Linked DNA regions of Stegostoma tigrinum. The protein of the gene in region 2 binds, or shares a complex with, the protein of the main gene of each other region. Links are inferred from orthologs where the notes say so. Each region holds a gene or a part of one and is shown on either strand. Other genes may lie near its edges.

Region 1 (10,450 bases), on a different chromosome or scaffold from region 2:
GAAGCTCTGAAGCTGTTTAAGACACGCTCCCCGCAGACAGCAGCAATGCTGTTTGCTGTGGACATTGATGCAGGAACGATCACGTGCTTATGTCAAGTGCCCCAGGTAAAGACTGTTATTTGAATGCTGCAAATTCATGCTCACAGGGACTTGTTTAAAGGGACTGATTGGATCTAACTTGCTAATTGTGCAAGTTTTCTTCAAAAAGTTGGATCAGACAATTTCAGTTAATCAAAGTTACAATGTGCTGTTAAGAATTTATGCTCCATTAAGAGTTTCAACTTTGAACACAATAAAACGTTCAAAGCTGGTACACAAGAGTATTACCAGATTAAGGTTTATACAGAGACATTAGGACAGGTAACCAAGGGCTTGGTCAGAAATATCATAAGATGTAGGAGCAGAAGTAGGCCATTCGGCCCACTAAAACCACTATCCTGCTTTTTCCCCATAAACCTTAATTCACTTACTGATTAAAAGCCTGTCTTAGCTTTGAATATACTTAATGACCCAACCTCAAAAGCTGTTTGTGGTAAAGAATTCCTCAGACTTTTTTTTTCCTCTCAGAAAGTAGTCATTCTCCTAATCTCTGCCTTAAATGGATTACCCCTTTTTTCTGAGATTGTCTCGTTTGGTCCCAAAAGGGGAAACGGCCTTCACATTTACCCTGTCAAGTCCTCTTAGAATCTTATGTTTCAGTAAGTTCACCTCTCATTGTTCTAAACTCCAATGAGTACAAACCCAAACTACTCAGCCTCTCCTCATATACCTAATGTCAGCCTAGTGAATCATCTTTGGACTGCCTCCAATGTCAGTCTGTCTTTCCTTGGATGAGGGGACCAAAACTGCTCACAGTTTCCTTTTATACTTCATTCCTCTTGACCTATGGGTCAGCACTCTATTTGCTTTCCCTATTTCGTTCCAAACTTGGATGCTAGCTTTTGTGGCTTATAACACAAGAATCCTCAAATCCCTTTGCAATGTACCTTTCTGCAGTCTTTCTCCGTTTTAGTAATATTCAGTTTGTTCCAGTGTGCATAACCTTGCGTTTCTCATTATATTCCATCTGAAAAATTTTTTGCCCACTCACTTAATCTGTCTATATTTTCTGTAAACTCATGTATTATCCTCAGTATTTGCTTTCCCATCTATTTTTGTCGTCTGCAAACTTGGGTAATAGTACATTCTATTCTGTCATCCAAGTCATTAAAATATAATTGTAAATAATTGTGGCCCCAGCAGTGAAACCTTTGGCAGTCCACTAGTTACAAGTTAACATCTCAAAATTGTCCCCTTAATTACAGCTGTTTGTCTTCTGTGAGTTAGCCAGTCATGTATCAATGCTATTACACTACCCACAACCCCATGAGCCCTGATCAAGCAGCTCTGTGTGACGCTCATTATTGAGTGCCTTTTGGAAACCTAAACATATTACATTTACTGGTTCCCCTTTAACTACCCTACTTGTTAACCTCTTCACAGAATTCTAATAGAGTTGCCAGCAGTTGCCCTGCTGACTCTACTTGATAGATTCTAACATTTTCCTGGTTAGAGACACTATTCTAACTTTCTTAAAGTTACTTTTTTCTCATCTCCCTTTTTAAACAATGGTGTCACTTTCCAATCCTCTGGGACTTTTCCAGAATAAAGATTGTTATTAGATTACTACCAAGGCATCTACTATCTCTGATTACTTCCCTCACATCTTAAGGTACAACCCAAAGGATTTATTGGCTTCCATCACATTGTTTTCCCTAGTAGTTTATTTTTCTCTTTTTTTATTCTTCTTTTATTCTTCCCTCAGCCTTTGAACGTTTAATAATTGAGGACGTCAGTGTTAAGAAGAGAAACGCAGAGAGGTTTAGGGCAAGCATTGCAATGTTACAGCAGATGAAGGCATGACTGCCAGTGATGGAAGTGACCAACGATAGGGAGGCCAGGACTGGAGGAATGAGATGAACTTGGCTCAGTGTCTGGGTGTTTGAGAGCAACGATTCATTGTTTGACAATATTGTTAATCTCCACTTGAAGGCTGTGGCAGTAATGATTCTGTGCCCCTTGATACTTCATCGCAGGAGTTACTCCTCATCCTTCAGTGAGTTTCAGTAGACTGATCCACCATGAGGTTTGTAACATTCAAGCCCAGTCTGGTCATCATCTGCCCTGCACCCGTTCTCTGTACGTGACCCAACAGGGACCAATGATCAGCCGTCAAAGACAGAGTTTAACCTTTGTTGATCATAAGGAGCTGATTTCAGTTGTTGCATCCCAGCTACGTGTTTCCTGAGACCCTGGTAATATAGGACTTAGGAATTGGTGTAGGCCTTTCAGTCTTGCTGTGCCATTCACTGGCTGTTATGACATCTGCAGCATATCAGGTATTGAACCTGTGATGTATAAGTCTCAGTCCCTCACTGTGCCACTTTTACAGTCAGGCCAGTGGGGGAGGCATCGCCTCAAAGTCCGAACATTGTACGTTGTGGAAAGCCCATCTTAAAAGCAGCAGGGTTACTGAATTTTCATTTTGCACTATTTCTCCCTTTTTCATTACAAACCTTTTTCAGGAGGTGGTGAGCAGGGGCCTGAAAGCCAGTGACTGGGTCAACCATATCTTGGACCTGCTGGACGGAAGAGGAGGAGGAAAGGACGTGTCAGCCCAGGCCACTGGGAAAAACGTCAACAGCCTTGACAAGGCGCTAAAGCTGGCAACCGAGTTCGCTGAGCTGAAAATAGGAGACCTCAAAAACTAATCACAAACGTTGCAGTTAATGTCACTTGAAAGACCGTCCATGGGGCCGGGACTCTTCTGCTGCAGGGGTTTAGGACCACTACTGCTGAGAGGTGGTGAGGGAGGGGGTTGTCACATTCTCCTCCATGTTAATGTTAAAAGCGTGAACTTCTGTCTCACTAAGTCAGTAGAACAGCTTAGCAATCGATCATCTCTAAAATCTTCAAACTGTTGCAATAAGGGACTGGCTGTAAGAAAATCTGTTAGCCTATTTAAAACGGCTCTAATTCATTAAAAGGATTTGCACCCGTAAGCTTAAAATAATACTGGTGTTGTACTGGTTACAGATTTGGAGTATGCTATTTATTTTCAGATTCAGATCAATTGTCTCTTGTTCGCTGCCTCATGATGATGCTGTCATTACCTAGTCATATGTAACCATTGTTCAAGACAGTGTAAACAATAAAACCTCTTCATTACGTGAACGAGACATTGCAATCATGTTTTTGACTCTTGGACTTCTGTAATCTCCTTAGCTGTCGATTGATTCACATCCTGGTGAAACACAACCAATTCCCATTATCTCTGATCACCAATTAGAAGTTGATTTATTCAACGTTATGTGTGAACATAAATACGAACACTTATTGTAAATCCCACCCATTTTCAACTTTAGTCACTAACTCTCCTTCAAATATAAAAAAACCCCAAAGATTCACACTGTCCCTGTTGGAAGTTGATTTTCACTTCATTGATGAGTTCTTCCTTCAAACCTGGTCAGACTGGTCTACAGGGGTCTAACCACTATAAAATCAGAATAATGGAAATATGCAGCAGTTTACAAAACACGTGGAGAGAGAAACTATTAATGTTTCACATCACACACAGCAGATGATCATCATTCCTTTGACTTTCTACTTGATTTGCTCAGTACTTGCAGCATTTTTTGTGTTATTTTCAGATTTACTTCTGCAGAAATGATTTCTGTTGTCTAACATTGAAGTCATACATAAGTGGTACCATTTTATGAACTATTTTGTCTTACACATCTCCCAGTATTTCCGTCCAGTGGATTTAACCCCAAGCAAGCAAAACGTGACAGTAGCGTTTTAATATAAACGATTCCAGTGGTTCATTAGACAAAGTTTTGAATTCCAACACATGATAGTCATTCAGTTAATATCCAGTTCACTCTTTACTGTTTCTAACTGTTCCAATGTTCTGTCATTGCTATGACCAGCAACACAGCAGTGGCAACACTCTGATGTTGTGGGTCATGTTGGAACCAATAATGTAGACAAAAGTTGAGGTCCTATCAAAGATATCCTGGAGTTAGGAGATTAAAGAATAAGACCTCAATAGTGGTAATCTGTATTACATTTAGTAGAACAGAGAGGTGAGACAGGCTAACTTGTGGATGGTGAAATTGGGCTGGAGGGCAAGGCTTCAGAATTTGAGGTGTTGGGGCCACAGGACAGTCAACCTTGATTCTGATGTTTCACCCAATATTGGATATAATAGTAAATGGAGAGGAGGGTTACTGAAACCTTCAGGATGCCACAGACCGGTGAAATAAACAAGACACTGGGAAGATGAAATTTTAATGCTCCCAGTGTGAGCCTGAGCAGACAACTCTTTGAAGTGGACAGGAATATTCCAAAAACCTGCTTTTGAAAAAAAATACATAAAATCTTGGTGGTGTCCTTTGGTGCTTCACAAATTGATGGAGGACTCCCCAAGAACAGATGGTAAGCTTATCCCTGCTGGTTCTAGACATTTTGCGATAGGAAATAATTTTTCTGCATGTATTTATATTAACAAGTTGTCCCTCAGTAGCTTCATCTTTTAATTAGACAACGGGAGGAAATTCTCTGAATGGGAGGCAAAGGTGGGAAGCAATTGCCGATGTTGGTTTGAGTAAATCCAGGGAATTATTTGTGGATAAGAACAGGAATTTGATTTCCAGATATTGGGGTACGAGGAACAAATTGTTGAGGATTTATGATGAGAAAGTTGGAACAGAAACGGACAATGTTGTGGATGTGAAATCAAGGACCTTGTTATCGAAGGGGATTGAAGCTCAACTCTAGATCAAGAACAATGCTGAAATTATTCTCAAACTGGAGGCGATAAATGGAATCCGTGGCAAATGTTACTTAACGTTCAGCAAGAACTAAAAGAGGACATCACTCTTCCAACGTTGGGAAAAATTCCTGAGTTGTACATGACCTTAGATTGGCAGGCCATTTGACAGCACCAAGGTGGTGGAAAAGAGAGAATCTTGGACCCTCTTCCTCCTCATCACTCATACTCGAGGATGATGCCAATAAAAAATTACATGTAAATGAAGAAAGGGTGCATCCCAAAGGAGACACCATTGTATACAGTACAGGTTAAAGGTAAAGTTGCCATAGTCCTACCAGGCCATAGGATTGCTCAATTGTTGGTGTTTTAAGCTTGAGGGTCACCATGCCTGAGGTGTGTAGAATGGTTGAGAAGGGGTCCTTTGTTGTAACCTCAACCAGCATAGGATTGAATCCACACTGTTGGTATCGCTCTATCACAAACCAGCCGTCGAGCCCAAGTGAGATTAGTAACCAGATAACTACAGGGTCGCACAGTGGTTAGCATTTCTGGCTCACAGCAGCAGAGCCATCGGTTCGATTCCAGCCTTGGGTGACTGCCTGTATGCACTTTGCGTGTTCTCCCTATGTCCCCATGTTTAATAACCAGCTAATCTTTTTCAGCGATTCATATTGACCGGGACTTTGGGCAACATGCCCCGACTCTTGCTTCTGCGTTTCCTACTGCCACCTTAAAGAACAAATAGCTCTGAAGGGCCAGTGTTAAATTGCGTTCAAATCTCAGGATTACAGCTTGGTACATGTGGCAATAATAAATCAAATTACTCCCCTAGCAAGGCTCTGCTTGTCACACACTGCTGCATTGGTTTTTTCCCCCCTGGTGGTGGAATATTGATAAATTTGGCTACAGAACCCATGTTTTTCGATGCGACCTGCACGCACAGACGACTCAAACCAAATCATTGCAATCTGGAAGAGAACTTGCACACTTTGCTGAAAGCCGGTAGGGGGTGGTATGGAGCATGAGGGCCTGCGGATGGTCCTCCCGGACTGCAGGGGGCGGTGTTGGGGGAGGGCAGTAGGTGGGAGCATCTTACGACGGGCGCTGCCTCGTTGTGCGCGGCCTGGTCGAGGCTCCGGAGCTTGGAGCGAGTCGGTACCAGATGCCGGTCGACACCAAGCGAGTCCGGGGCCCGGAGGAGTCGCAGTCGCCGCTGCTGTTTGTGGCGGGAGATGCGGCTCCGAGCACGGTGCCGGGGCGGGCCCGGGTTCGGGCTGATGGGCGGTCGGCGGCTGAGCCGAGGCCGGTGTTTGCTCGGGCCGGCCTGGTGAGTCAGGCGGACGGCTCGGTGTACGTCGAGTGCGGCCTCACCAAGGTGCTGTGCGCCGTTTACGGGCCCCGGGAGAGCGACAGGAAGGAGGAGCGGCGCCTGAGCGGGGCGACCCTGGGCTGCGAGTTCAGGTAGGGGCCGGGGCCGGGGGCGGGAAGGGTCTTAAAGCACCAACACCAACCCCCCGTGAAACCAAGGGCAAGCGGAGATGATGTAGAGACCCCTGGTGCTCGGAGTAAAGTCTCCTGTGATTTTGGAAAGGTGGGCGTGTAGGTTATCAGTGTGTGTCAGGTCAGCTCTGACTGGGGAGAGGGGAGGGTTCCCAGTCCTATCCCTGGCTGCTGGATTTAGTGAAGTGAATTGTGGAAACACAGGCTGATCCTGTGACTTGAAGCTGGAAGGATGGTGGGGAAATGTGTTGATCGTCAACAGAAGAAGCACAGCGCATTCCAGATCACAGCAGCTCACAAATAATGAACCTGGTCCTCAACCCAGCTCCGATTCCTGGTGGAGCTGCTGGCGTTGGGCTGGAGTGAACAAAGGTGGAATGGCAATGTAGACAGTGGGTGCCTACCTCCGCTCAGCTCGCAACAAACAACTGCACCTCCCAGTTGCAAACCATTTCCACTCCCCCTCCCATTCTTTAGATGACATGTCCATCATGGGCCTCCTGCACTGCCACACTGATGCCACCCGAAGGTTGCAGGAACAGCAACTCATATTCCGCCTGGGAACCCTGCAGCCCAATGGTATCAATGTGGACTTCACCAGCTTCAAAATCTCCCCTTCCCCTACTGCATCCCTAAACCAACCCAGTTCGTCCCCTCCCCCCACTGCACCACACAACCAGCCCAGCTCTTCCCCCCCACCCACTGCATCCCAAAACCAGTCCAACCTGTCTCTGCCTCCCAAACCGGTTCTTCCTCTCACCCATCCCTTCCTCCCACCCCAAGCCGCACCCGCAGCTACCTACTAACCTCATCCCACCTCCTTGACCTGTCCGTCTTCCCTGGACTGACCTATCCCCTCCCTACCTCCCCACCTACACTCTCTCCACCTATCTTCTTTACTCTCCATCTTCGGTCCGCCTCCCCCTCTCTCCCTATTTATTCCAGTTCCCTCTCTCCATCCCCCTCTCTGATGAAGGGTCTAGGCCCGAAACGTCAGCTTTTGTGCTCCTGAGATGCTGCTTGGCCTGCTGTGTTCATCCAGCCTCACATTTTATTATCTTGGAATTCTCCAGCATCTGCAGTTCCCATTATCCCTAGACAGTGGGTGTCACTGGCAAGGTAAGAATTAGTTGCCCATCCCTAATTGCTCGTAAAACGGTGGATTGCCTGACCATTCAGAGGGCAGTTAAGAATTGGCCACACTTTTGTAGTCTGGATAGCCTCAATTTTAATTTATTAACATTCCATTCCCTGTGATCCTTGGTTTGTAGCTGATACTCCAACCTGAGCCATTTACTTGGCAGTTTTTGTCACTCTTTGCTGCTGACTTTCATTCTCAGGTTTAGGACGACAAAGTCAATCCCAAACCTACCTCAGATGGAACAGAAATTGAACCTGCGCTGTTGGACATTTCTCTGAACCACCTCACCGACATTTAACCAACTGTGCTAACCTATTCCTCTTTTGAAATATCACGTGAATGAATTCATAGGATTGTTTTTCTTCCCTACCACGCCCCCCCCCCCCACCCTTGTAGATTTGCCCCATTCTCTTGCAGGAAGAGAGCTGCCTGGATTCAGGGCACCTTGGAGAAGGAGTATTCTTTGATCATGGAACAGAGCTTGCAGCCAGCTATCTGCCTCCACAAGTACCCCAGGTCCCAGATCGAAGTGTACGTGATGGTTCTGGAGAATGATGGCTCCACCTTAGCAGCTGCGCTGACTTGTGCTTCCATAGCACTGGCAGAAGCAGGCATCGAGATGTTTGACGTGGTGGTGGGCTGCTCTTTGAGGCAGTGTGGAGCTGTCTCCCTTCTGGATCCAACAGCAGCTGAGGAGTACAGTGCAGCCTGCTCGCAGGCCGTAAACAATGGCAGCTTGACTGTGGCTCTGCTGCCCACACTCAATCAAATCTCCGGGCTGGTCTCGAAAGGAGAGTGGGAGGAGCAGACATCAGTAGAAGCAATCAAGGCTTGTATTGAGGGATGTCAGAAGCTCTACTCTGTAGTCCAACAGTGTCTGACCAAATCAGTCAAGAGGAAAATCCCACAGCTTGTCAGTAAAGATTAGATGAACTTTTGTTCTTGGACATTCCAGTAAATGCTTTCTTGAAAAATAAATGTTTTTTTACTGTTCCATTTACTACATTTTATACAAGTTGCAGAATATCCTTTGTTAACATTTAACTAAAATTGAACCACCACACGGTATTGGATTGAAGTGTGAGGTTCAGCTCTGTCTATGCTGAGTTGCCTGATCTGTGGTGCTGCTGAAGTTCAGCTTCAGTGCAGGAAGGTATAATTGGGCCAGGGTTCCTGGAGCTGATTGTCCAGTCTCTCCTGTTGGATGTGTGGGACGCTGGGCCTCAATTCCCTGCTGTCTGGTCTTGAGCAGTCTGGGTGGAGTTGTGCTGCAGTAAAACTTGATCTCTGGGTGAAGTAGAGAGAATAAATGCAATTCAAGCTAAAGTGGTATGGGACTTTGCCCTCGCTGCTTATTTTTTGCCCTGCCACAGTATTTATTTCAGTACTTCCTCACTGAGCAGATTTCAACTCTGAGGGCCTAAGGATTACACAGTGCAGTCTGTCTGGGATCAATCAAGTATTTATCCTTTCCAGACCTTGTGAGTTATTAAAACAAGCAGTTTATTTGGTTTATACATATCTTCTCCAACTGATACAAACACAACATTGGAGGATCTCAACTGGTCTAGCAGCATCTGTGGAGAGAGAGAAGCAGAGTTTAATTTTGAGTTTGGTATGATCTCCTTCATACTCCATGTTCTCCAATTGGTCCCATGTAGACCTCTTTCTTCTATTGTGGGTAGCGACAAGGCACTCGGTACAGAGAATTTACATTAAGTGTCGTCTGAGGCTTTTGCTTCGAATTAGATCCCAGCCTGATAAAGCGGCTGTAAGGCCATTGTGTTAAATGAGCTTGGGGATAGTCTCAAATTGGTGGTCAGTGGCTATCAGCCTTCAAGAGAAAACTGCCCAATATTTGAGTTCTGCTGGGTGATACACTGCTGTGATGAATACGTCACCCAACTGCGGAAGCACAGTACAAGGCAGATTAACGGGCTCAACTCTTTGTTCCTCTCCCAACTTTGTAATGTGCTAGACCTGGACACTCTTGGTTATGAGAGTTCAGGGTGGGAAATTTCCATCCAGTCTATTCATTCACTAATTTGTCTGTTTACTATATTTTTTTAACAAATAAAATCAAAGTTCTTGACCATTCTGTCATTTTTCTACACATGCTGAGTTGTAATTTGGAAGAAATGTCTCACTGACTTTAAGTGCTGATTGACATTGTGCAGCATCAGGCAGAATCCTGGGGAATCAAAGTTTGCTCAACGCTCCTGGGGTAAATAATAAAATGATGTGTTTTTTTATTGTTGCCATTAGGATCCCTTGTAACATCAGCTAGTTGTACATACTTACATTCCAAACAGCCGAAAAAGATTCCTTTATACCCGCTCTCTGCCTTCTGCTAGTCAGCCGATCCTCTATCCACGCCAGTACCTTGCCCCTAACACCCTGGGCTCTTATCTTAAATTGCAGCCTCTTGCACAATACGTTGTCAAAGGCCTTCAGGAAACTCAAATCGATCACATCCAAAGATACACTGCTGTGATGAATACGTCCTTTGTTGAGCTTGATCATCGTTGCATCAAAGAATTCTGACAGATTTGTGATCTCCCCTTGACCAAGGCATGCTGACGCTGCCGTATTTTATCTGCTGTTTCAAGTACCCTGCAATCTCATCCTTAATAACGGATTGTAAAATCTTACCAATGACAGAGGTCTGGATAATCGGCCTGATAAATAATTTATTTAAACAAGTGTATTCCCTCTTGTTGTTCCCTCATCATCTGCTGCACAGCCAGTCAAACCATTTTGCCAGTTTGTGATGGGCTTTGAATTGCTCCACCCAGAGTATATTCTGTCCCCTTACCCCTCAAAGTGGCATTCGACATGGAGGAACACTGATTCATCAGCCACATGATGGTGATGGCCTAGTGGTATTATCACTGGACTGTTAATCCAGAGACCCAGATAATGTTCTTGGAACCTGGGTTTGAATCCCGCCACAGCAAATTCAATAAATATCTGGAATTAAGAGTCTAATGATGACC
Region 2 (10,571 bases):
GCTTAGAGGATATTTGAGAGATTTATGGGTACCTGAATGTCATCGCATAAAAGAATGTTAGAGGCGGAAACTCTCAAGACAAAGAAGAACCAGTTAGATGAGCACTTCAAACACAATAGTATAAGGGCCAAGTGCTGTAAAATGGGACTTGAATAGATAGATGTTTGATGAGCAGCAAGTACAAAGGAAGCTGAAGGGCCTTTTTGAGTGATGTAAAAACTGGATGGTTCTATGGTCTCGGAGCAGAGGAGGTACAGGGAGAGCATTTCCGACCTTGGGCCCCAGACAACTGAAGAAGAATCAAGGACACTCAAAAAGAACAGTGGTCAATGTCCTTTAGGGAAGCAAACTGCCATTCTTACCTGGATAATAAAATGTGAGGCTGGATGAACACAGCAGGCCCAGCAGCATCTCAGGAGCACAAAAGCTGACGTTTCGGGCCTAGGCCCTTCATCAGAGAGGGGGATGGGATGAGGGTTCTGGAATAAATAGGGAGAGAGGGGGAGGCGGACCGAAGATGGAGAGAAAAGCAGATAGGTGGAGAGGAGAGTATAGGTGGGGAGGTAGGGAGGGGATAGGTCAGTCCGGGGAAGACAGACAGGTCAAGGAGGTGGGATGAGGTTAGTAGGTCGGAGATGGAGGTGCGGCTTGGGGTGGGAGGAAGGGATGGGTGAGAGGAAGAACAGGTTAGGGAAGCAGAGACAGGCTGGACTGGTTTTGGGATGCAGTGGGTGGAGAGTAAGAGCTGGGCTGGTTGTGTGATGCACTGGGGGGAGGGGACAAACTGGGCTGGTTTTGGGATGCGGTGGGGGAAGGGGAGATTTTGAAGCTGGTGGAGTCCACATTGATACCATTGGGCTGCAGGGTTCCCAAGCGGAATATGAGTTGCTGTTCCTGCAACCTTCGGGTGGCATCATTGTGGCACTGCAGGAGGCCCATGATGGACATGTCATCTAAAGAATGGGAGGGGGAGTGGAAATGGTTCGCGACTGGGAGGTGCAGTTGTTTATTGCGAACCGAGCGGAGGTGTTCTGCAAAGCGGTCCTCAAGCCTCCGCTTGGTTTCCCCATTGTAGAGGAAGCCACACCAGGTACAATGGATACAGTATACCACATTGGCAGATGTGCAGGTGAACATCTGCTTAATATGGTAAGTCATCTTCGGGACTGGGATAGGGGTGAGGGAGGAGGTGTGGGGGCAAGTGTAGCATTTCCTGCGGTTGCAGGGGATGTTGCCCGGTGTGGTGGGGTTGGAGGGCAGTGTGGAGCGAACAAGGGAGTCACAGAGAAAGTGGTCTCTCCGGAAAGCAGACAAGGGTTGGGATGGAAAAATGTCTTGGGTGGGGGGGTCGGATTGTAGATGGCGGAAGTGTCGGTGGTCTTGGGTGGAACACCTCTGCTCGTTTCGCAATAAACAACTGCACCTCCCAGTCACGAACCATTTCCACTCCCCCTCCCATTCTTGAGATGACATGTCCATCATGGGCCTCCTGCAGTGCCACAATGATGCCACCCGAAGGTTGCAGGAACAGCAACTCATATTCCGCTTGGGAACCCTGCAGCCCAATGGTATCAATGTGGACTTCAACAGCTTCAGAATCTCCCCTTCCCCCATCGCATCCCAAAACCAGCCCAGTTCGTCCTCTCCCCCTCTGCATCACACAACCAGCCCAGCTCATCCCCTCCCCCAACTGCATCCCAAAACCAGCCCAGCCTGTCTCTGCCTCCCTAACCTGTTCTTCCTCTCACCCATCCCTTCCTCCCACCTCAAGCGCACCTCCATCTCCTACCTACTAACCTCATCCCACCTCCTTGACCTGTCCGTCTTCCCTGGACTGACCTATCCCCTCCCTGCCTCCCCACCTATGCTTTCCTCTCCACCTATCTGCTTTTCTCTCCATCTTCGGTCCGCCTCCCCCTCTCTCCCTATTTATTCCAGAACCCTCACCCCATCCCCCTCTCTGATGAAGGGCCTAGGCCCGAAACGTCAGCTTTTGTGCTCCTGAGATGCTGCTGGGCCTGCTGTGTTCATCCAGCCTCACATTTTATTATCTTGGATTCTCCAGCATCTGATTATCACTGATGCCATCCTTACCTTGTCTGGCCTACATGTGACTCCAGGCCAACAGTAATAAATACTGGCTTAGCCAGCGATGCCCTCATCCCATAAATAATGCCTCCAACCTCCCTGTTATCCTCAGTATCCCCAAGGGTCTGACTGTTGAACCTTGTACTCCCTTGTCTTGTTCATCTTCCCAAAAACCATCACTTCATACTTTCCAAGATTAAATTGCATTTGCCACTGATCCGCCCATCTACATTATTTCACTTTGCTTATTTCCTTTAGGAAATTCCTAAAAACAGATTTTCAGTCCTCCCACCAACCCCGATCACCTCCCCCCGCACCACCCCCCACCCCCAAACATCCCAGTATGTCTGAGAGGTCAAATTCGAGGTTGTGAGTTGCAATGGGTCAGTCTGAACCTCTACCAGGACAGCTCTGTGTCAGTGGATTAATTCCACATAACAACACTGGGGGAGCCAGCAAGCCCAATGTACTTTTATTGGCAAGCTCAAACCTGTTCAGGATGTTTGTGCGCGAACCTGGCATAGCTATAGGTTGGCAATTATAACTGAGCCACTACTGGAGGTTGGGGGTGGGGGGTTGGTAACAACCAGCAAGACATGTGGCTAAGCTGAAATGGTGCATGGCAGTTTCAAACCTGACTGTGCTCATGCTCCTGTCTACCTCCTGTAAAGGATAGTGACTCTGCCTCTCACGCTCCAGCAGCTAAACCACAAATGAGGAAGGAATAGGGGCTATTGAGTGAAAGAGTAGGAGAGTGCAGTTTTGAGCAGAGAGACTGTTGAGTGAGTCAATGAGATGGGGCTTAGTTGTGAGTGTGTGTACATTACATTGGAGAGAGGCTGATGCAATGCATCTGCAGGATTCACTGCGTATTCTATGCCTTGGAAAAACAGAGAGCTTGGTTGAAACATACATGAGATCATTGATTATTTACCAAATGCATTAGAGATTTTAATTTTCATAAAATGTACTACTGTTTTATAAGTTGATCCATAATGTATAAACCTAATTGTTACTGTGCTAACAAGGTGTAGAGCTGGATGAATACAGCAAGCAAAGCAGCACCAGAGGGGCAGGAAGGCTGACGGTTCGGGGTCTAGGCCCAAAACGTCAACCTTCCTGCTCCTCTGTTGCTGCTTGTCCTGCTGTGTTCATCCAGCTCTACACCTTGTTCTCTCAGATTCTCCAGATTCTGCAGTTCCTACTATCTCTGTTACTGTACTGCTTTGTTGCTATTTGATTTTGCAGACCACAGGTTTCTGGGATTAATTTGAGCTGCTGAGATGGTTCAGGTTGACGGAGTTACAATGGTGATGGTCGGTCTTTCCCTGAAAGTCATAAGCTCCTAGTACCAGACAAGCTCCTTAAGGCCTTTCATCCAAAGCACATCTTGGGGCTGGAAACTATGTAGAACTTCTTGCACTGTGCACCTGATACCAAAATGTACATTATTAATATCAAGAGAATTCAGATTGTAAGAAATGCCTCAGAGTGGAAAACACTGTGCAAAATTTAATTCAAATACACTTTCTGGAATTTTAAATTTAAAATTATTTGCCCTTGGGTTGCGTGCTTGTCTTGGAAGGTACATTGTAAATGCTAAGCGCTTAATAGTTGTAAATAGTTGGCAGTACAGAATTTAAACATTGCTAAAGGAGACTAAAAGTTGACACTCTCTTGCACTCATGGGAACTAGGGTGAAAGAAATAGACTTGAAAAAAAGGATATGATGTCTCTTTTGCCATAACTGTTATTTGAATCCTGTTTCTGATAAGTACAAGATGAAAAGTTTCTGATCTCCTTCTAGCAATGTTAAGAATAGATCAAGGTAAGTATAAGTCAAGCATGTTGCATAAAGCAAGTTAAAGTTTTATTGCACTTTCCATAATTTTAATGTTACAAAAATTTACTTTGTAAACGTTTTGTGAATAATTTTTGCAGAAAAAGACAGCTCTGGTCAAGTTCCAATCATGTGATCTGGGAGGACGGAAGTTTCTTTATAAACAACATTAACCCAGATGTGTTCTGCTTTCACAATCTCCTTAAGTTGCAGGCCTTTTACCTTCAGTAAGGTATTCATACTCGATGAAGTGATACTTATGAACGTAAGAACAAGATGTGGAGAACCAAAGGATTCAATAGATATTTATTACAGCATCTGGCATCTGCACGTTACAACCACAAACGCTTGTGTGTCTGGGAATAAAGCAACACAATTCAGATGTAAACTGCAGTACAATTCTCTCTGAGCATAATGCTGCAAGAAGACACAGTAAAATGGAGACCGAGAATTTTATACCATCAGGCCCATGCAATGATTTTATGAGAATGTATATTTTTGCAATATTGGAGAGTTGACGACTATGAGGAGCCAGAACGCAAGTAGAGTCAAGGCCTGGGACAGATTGGTCATGAATCCTTAAAGGGCTGAATGGCCCACTCCTGCTTCTATTTCTTCCATTCTGATGCTGTCTCTGTCTCTTGCATCCTTGTTTGGATGAGCGCAAGGTGAAAAGTTTCAATTCAGTGACCCTTCGGGCTCAAAACTTTCAATCTGTTTCTCTCGCCACAGTTGCTGCCAGACCTGCTGAGTTTCTCCAGAAGTTTCTGTCTTCGTTTGAGAATTCCAGCATCTGCAGATCTTTGTTTTATTCCCGTGTTGAAATTTACCTGATCGCCGGGCTCGAGTCTGGATTGACTTCAGGACGCTACCCTCGATCTGAGGCTATACAAATGCACATTGTTGTTTATTGTCCTGGGAGGGGGCTCTACGATGGCGTCACGAGGAGGCGGGCGCAATGGTGACATCGTGCGGGGGTGCGCTGACGTCATAGAATGACTTCAGTGCGTCGACGTTGTGAGAAGGCGGGGTCTGCGTACTGACGTTCGACGTAGCGCCGCGACGCAAGGCAGGCCCAGTCACGTCTTCCCCGAGGAGGGATGGAACGGCCCGCAGCTGGGGCCGTCTCGCAGGTGGTGCTGCCTGGGGATGTGCTTACCTTCCCTCCCAACTCCGGGGATAGGGTCTTGTGCGGGCCCGGCCTGAGGCGACAGGGCTGTGGGCAGTTGTCCGGACATGCTCTGGTGGCCTGCAAGTCCGGCGTGCTCCGGCACAAGGAGCCCTCCGTCTACTGGGTGGAGTCGCAGCAGAAACGGGTGAGGGAGGCGGGTCAGATCTCTTCCCCCACAACGCTCACTAATGAGGTGTCAGGCCTAGGATGGGTGTAATGGGCCCCGGTGTAGGGGATGCTGGAGGTCCCTGTGGATTGTGGGATCCTGGAGGAGTATGAGTCCGGTGCAGTGGAGGTCCAGGCGGTATGATGCTGTGGGCTGGGGACAGTAGGGGAAAGGGGATTACGTTTTTCCCGGGTGGGGGAGGGGTGTTGTGGAAGTCCTGAGGAGTATGGACGTTGGGGGCTGGAGGGGAGGGGGGTACAGTGGTCACAGGTGTGGAGGGACTGGGTACTGGAGTTTGTGGGGTGTGGGAACTGGTGGTGTGGTGCTGGAGGACGTGGTGGGGAGGGAGCAAAAACAAAAAGTGCTGTGAAAGCTCAGCGGGTCTGGCAGCATCTGTGCAGAGAAATCGGAGTTAACATTTCAACAGCGACAGTATCCGCATTTCTCTTAGTTTTTATGGTGTGGAGGGAGATGAACTGGGTCTAGGGATTGAGGAGGGAGCAGTGTAGTAAATACATCAGTGAGACTTGAGTTGCTCTTTAATGAATCATGGCACTTTTACAAACTAATGTGCTTAAGATGTATCACCCATTCCATGGTGTAGGAAGAGAAAATCAACTTCTTATCCTTTGAGCAGTGCTGGAAGTGCAATTAGGTGCATACTGATTGAAGTCCAAATTAAATTCAGCTATTTTATATTCCACCCTGAACCCATCTGTTTGTTTTCTGGTTAGTAAATTGTTTAAGACATGAAAATTCATTCTGATATACAAATCTCCACATCAAATTACTGAGAAATTTGTGCAAGTTAGGAGATGATGTTTGGTCACTTCCCAGATTTATATGTTGAAGTATGTGGGAAGTGCTACTGAAGTTTACAGAAACAGAAATTGCTTGAAAAACAAGGTCTGGCAGCATCTGTGAAGAGAAACTTTTAGTCTCCTTTAGCAATGTTTAATGTATCAGGTCCAGTAATCCTCCTGCAGAACTGAAGCTTTGCCAACTTATTTGCACAGAAGAACTATTTGAATAATTGAGATAACAAAGTATGGAGCTGGATGAACACAGCAGGCCAAGCAGCATCTTAGGAGCACAAAAGCTGACTTTTCATCTAGGCCTGAAACATCAGCTTTTGTGCTCCTAAGATGCTGCTTGGCCTGCTGCGAATATCCCGCACCACACTTTGTTATCTTGAATTCTCCAGCACCTGCAGTTTCCATTGTCTCTGATCATCATTATATTTGAATAATTGTTGTTTTCACTCAAATTCTTGGTAAATTTTTGATTTTATGATGCCTGATGTGGTTCAAAAGCTCCCTTGGGCAATGTGAATATATTTGCCTTAAATAGAATGTAAGAACCAAAAGAACTGTGGATGCTGTAAATCAGGAACAAAAACAAAGTTGCTGGAAAAGCTCAGCAGGTTTCTGAGGAAGGGTCACCGACCTGAAACGTTAACTCTGTTTTCTCCTCCACAGATGCTGCCAGACCTGCTGTGCTTTCCCAGCAACTTTGTTTTTGTTCTTTAAATAGAATGTGCCTGATACCCTGAGAACACTGAACAAATTGGTGATTTTAAGCAGAGATTTCCATTGTTGCCTATTTATTTGCTGCTTGGAGTGCGTTTAAGAAATTCAGCTGCATTTTTTTCCAGAATTTGTAACTATAACTCAGAATTTAATGCCGAGTAAATTACATCGGAGAAGAATTTAAAAGTGTCCTTTTGCATTTTTTCAGTATGTGCCAGCTAAAGGAGAATACGTGATAGGAATTGTGACTGTGAAGTCTGGTGATATATTCAAAGTTGATGTTGGAGGAAGTGAGCAAGCCTCGTTATCATATTTAGCATTTGAAGGAGCTACCAAGCGAAATCGACCAAATGTCCAAGTAAGAATTTTTTGTAAAGTTTTAGTCTTAAACTAATGCTTAAGATGCAGATTAGTTTAGTATTCTGTGTAATTGTGATAGCTCTATCAGAGGTGTTGATGGTTTGGCTTGATGCATGATCAAATTTCTAATCGTTTTAATCCTTCTAAGGCTGATGACCTACCAACTGCAACAAGGTGACCAGGATCATGACTATCACTAATTTTAGGAAAGTTTATGTTTTAGAATTTTTAACCAATTTTGGGTATACATAAATTTTACCAAATACAGATATACAATAGCAAAAAGGCCAAAATCTGGGCATCTGAATGCAGAGCCATAGATTTGACTTGTCTACACTAATCATTTCCCTGTTACAGGAGTTGGTGCAATCAAGATTCATCGTGTAATGTCTATATAGAAATATGACCAACTAATAATGGTACATTTTGTGCTAACAATTCAATTTTATACCTATTAATATATGCAGACCTTGTTGTTTCAAAAGTTAGTCCTCAGTTGGATAAACCCGTTATATCCTTGCCTCCTGAGAATTTCAGGTTTGTGGAATTTCTCAAGCTGTAATAGCTTTCTTGAAGTTGAAATTATTAATGTCCATAAGCAAGAGAAGTTTCGAATCTGAGAAGATGCTGCTTTTAAGCTGTCTTTCGCCATTAATTCGGACATTGATATCTGACATGCACAATCATGTTTATTGACCACAAAACCTTCGGTCACTGAAGAGTCAGTATCTATTGACATTAATTGCTTTTGGCCTCCTGGCAGTGAAGCAATGGCTACCACTCTCGTCCTTGCTGTGGGATCTTCAGAGCACCTCCTGAGGCCTGTGCTAGTCAGTCAGTGTTCTTGTGCTGAGGGACCCTATGCAACATTGAGTTAACTGGACAAACAGGTTATGATCTCTGGTTTTGCTGCTGAACTTGTGCAGTGACCGTTGCCTACACCATGAAGGACAATGTTTCCACCAAAACTTCCTTCAGACCTCGATGAATAGAATCAGGTTATGCATTTTAAAATTCTGGAGCGTGCACCCCCCCCCCCCATTCTGTATTGATTAGATAAAATTGGATTCTATCTCTCCCACTCCCCGCCCTGCTCCAAATTCCTTACCTCCTTGGTGGCCTATACACCCTTAATGTGTGACCTGCCCTATTATAACAACATTTGAGAGATTGCTTCTTCCATTCCCACATTTCTCTGGTGATACCTGAACCAATTTATAAATAGTGCAGAGATGCTCAGCATGAGCTGGGGTTTGCCTCCGCCTATTTGTACATAAATTCTATTGATCAATTTAAAGCACATCCCAAACTCAGTTTATTAACTCTCCCAGTTTAAGATGAAGGTATAGTGCAAAGGGAGGAAAAGGTAAATTGCTCTTAACTGTAAAAGCTCAGGCTGACAAAACAGCCCTAATATCTGATTGATTAAATGTGGGTAAGATTTCTTCAGGAAAATCTCACCTCTGAATATTGAAATGGGCAGTCAGCGGGTTTTAAAAGGGCTTCAACTTAGTCAAAGGATCACATCTGATGCTGATATCCCTTTGACCCTCTCTGGTCATTCTAGATTGTGGTGTGATTAGAGCGGGGCTACTGCAAATGCTATTCTGGTCCAACCAAAGTTGGGTTGCAATGCTGTAATCACTAATTATGACGGCAGCAACTATAGCATGCTGGATGTGAGTTTGCTCGCTGAGCTGGAAGGTTCGTTTTCAGACGTTTCGTCACCATTCTAGGTAACATCAGTTAAATAGAGCTCCCTTGGGCAATGTGAATATATTTGCCTTAAATAGAATGTAAGAACTAAAAGAACTGTGGATGCTGTAAATCAGGAACAAAAACAAAGTTGCTGGAAAAGCTCAGCAGGTTTCTGAGGAAGGGTCACCGACCTGAACCTCTATTTAACTTTCAGTGAGCCTCCGACGAAGCGCTGGTGTTATGTCCCGCTTTCTATTTATCTGTTTAGCTTTCCTTGGGTTGGTGATGTCATTTCCTGTTCTTTTTCTCAGGGGATGGTCGATTGATTTGGAGCCAGTGTGTTTGTTGATGGAGTTCCGGTTGGAATGCCATGCTTCTAGGAATTCTCGTGCAAGAATTCCTAGAAGCATGGCATTCCAACCGGAACTCCATCAACAAACACATTGATTTGGAGCCAATCTAACATCCCCTGAGAAAAAGAACAGGAAATGACATCACCAACCCAAGGAAAGCTAAACAGATAAATAGAAAGCGGGACATAACACCAGCGCTTCATCGGATGCTCACTGATGATGTTATCTAGAATGGTGACGAAACATCTGAAAACTAACCTTCCAGCTCAGCGAGCAAACTCACATCCAGAACCTCAACCCGAGCTACAAATCTTCTCAAAACTCACTATAGCGTGCTGCTTGCCCGACATTGTGCAGGTTTCTTCCTAATGGAGGCCATGCTACTTTGCGGTGCATCATGCATGTTTCCTAACTTCTATTTTACTTGTTCTCTTGTGTCAGCACATTACTGTGTTCCTCGGCTACCTCCAGTTTGTGCTGTCATCCTGCAAAGCACGCAAGGGCCTACCTTTGTGCAGATGCTGCAAAGGCTGCTCACTTATGTCAAATATCTAACTGCATTTGTTGCTGTAGTTGTTCACACTACATTTGTATCATATTGTCATCGCTGGAGCACAATGATGCTGCGTGCTTGAGTCCAAGCGCTTTATCTGCTTTCCAGCTCTTAGCCAGGACCACCACCTGGGTAAACAATACTATTTCCTTAAGATACTTTTAATTTCCCTCTATTTAGTCCTGTTTTATCTTCTCATGTCTCCAGCAATTTCTTTCGGTTAACTTTTCATGCCATTACTTGCACACTTAGGGGATACTCTGGATAATTTCATCTTTCTCCCTCTAAAGATCATCTTTTGTAGGAAATATCACGAGCTGTGTAACAACATTCCCACAATACATGAGTCTTACTCAAATACATCTGGTTTACAATTGGTCATCCTTGATGAATGTCCATTTGTTGGATCATGAAATTTAATTTTAATCATGAGACTTGGGGTGCAAGTAGTTGCAGGATGGGTTCATTCCAGGTACAAGTGTGTTTAGATACAGTACACTAATGTTATTAAAACAAGTACAACAGAAGTGACCCTTAACCAGGCATTGGACAATGGAATACTGATCCTTGGTTAGAGGGCATGCGATTATTCCTCTCTCCACACCAACTATTAAAGTAGGCCTTATTAACTTGTTCTAAACCACAGCATTGCATGTTCAGAGATGCCGCAACTCTGAAGGCATAGTGATCAAATTCTTAACAGGTTTAGTGATGCATCCATAGTTGACAGTCCATTTGATAAGTAGTGAATGCTCAATTTGTTTCCTTTCTTCAAAGGAATAATTATCACTTCCACTATTTACTGATTAGAAA

Evidence for each region.
Region 1: exosome complex component RRP40-like (region 2) and exosc6 share a complex: the UniProt entries of both Homo sapiens proteins name them as parts of the RNA exosome core complex. The link is inferred for Stegostoma tigrinum from reciprocal best matches to the Homo sapiens genes EXOSC3 and EXOSC6.

The regions. Positions count from the first base shown.
Region 1 is NC_081369.1:4,853,032-4,863,481, reverse strand, and holds exosc6 (exosome complex component MTR3), read left to right. Parts: upstream 1-5,904; 5' UTR 5,905-5,975; coding exon 5,976-6,274; intron 6,275-7,850; coding exon 7,851-8,382; 3' UTR 8,383-9,549; downstream 9,550-10,450. Other genes in the region: aars1 (alanine--tRNA ligase, cytoplasmic), read left to right, coding at 1-105, 2,565-2,750. UniProt on the Homo sapiens protein: Non-catalytic component of the RNA exosome complex which has 3'->5' exoribonuclease activity and participates in a multitude of cellular RNA processing and degradation events.
Region 2 is NC_081354.1:15,914,310-15,924,880, reverse strand, and holds the start of exosome complex component RRP40-like, read left to right. Parts: upstream 1-4,966; 5' UTR 4,967-5,028; coding exon 5,029-5,244; intron 5,245-7,002; coding exon 7,003-7,152; intron 7,153-10,571. UniProt on the Homo sapiens protein: Non-catalytic component of the RNA exosome complex which has 3'->5' exoribonuclease activity and participates in a multitude of cellular RNA processing and degradation events.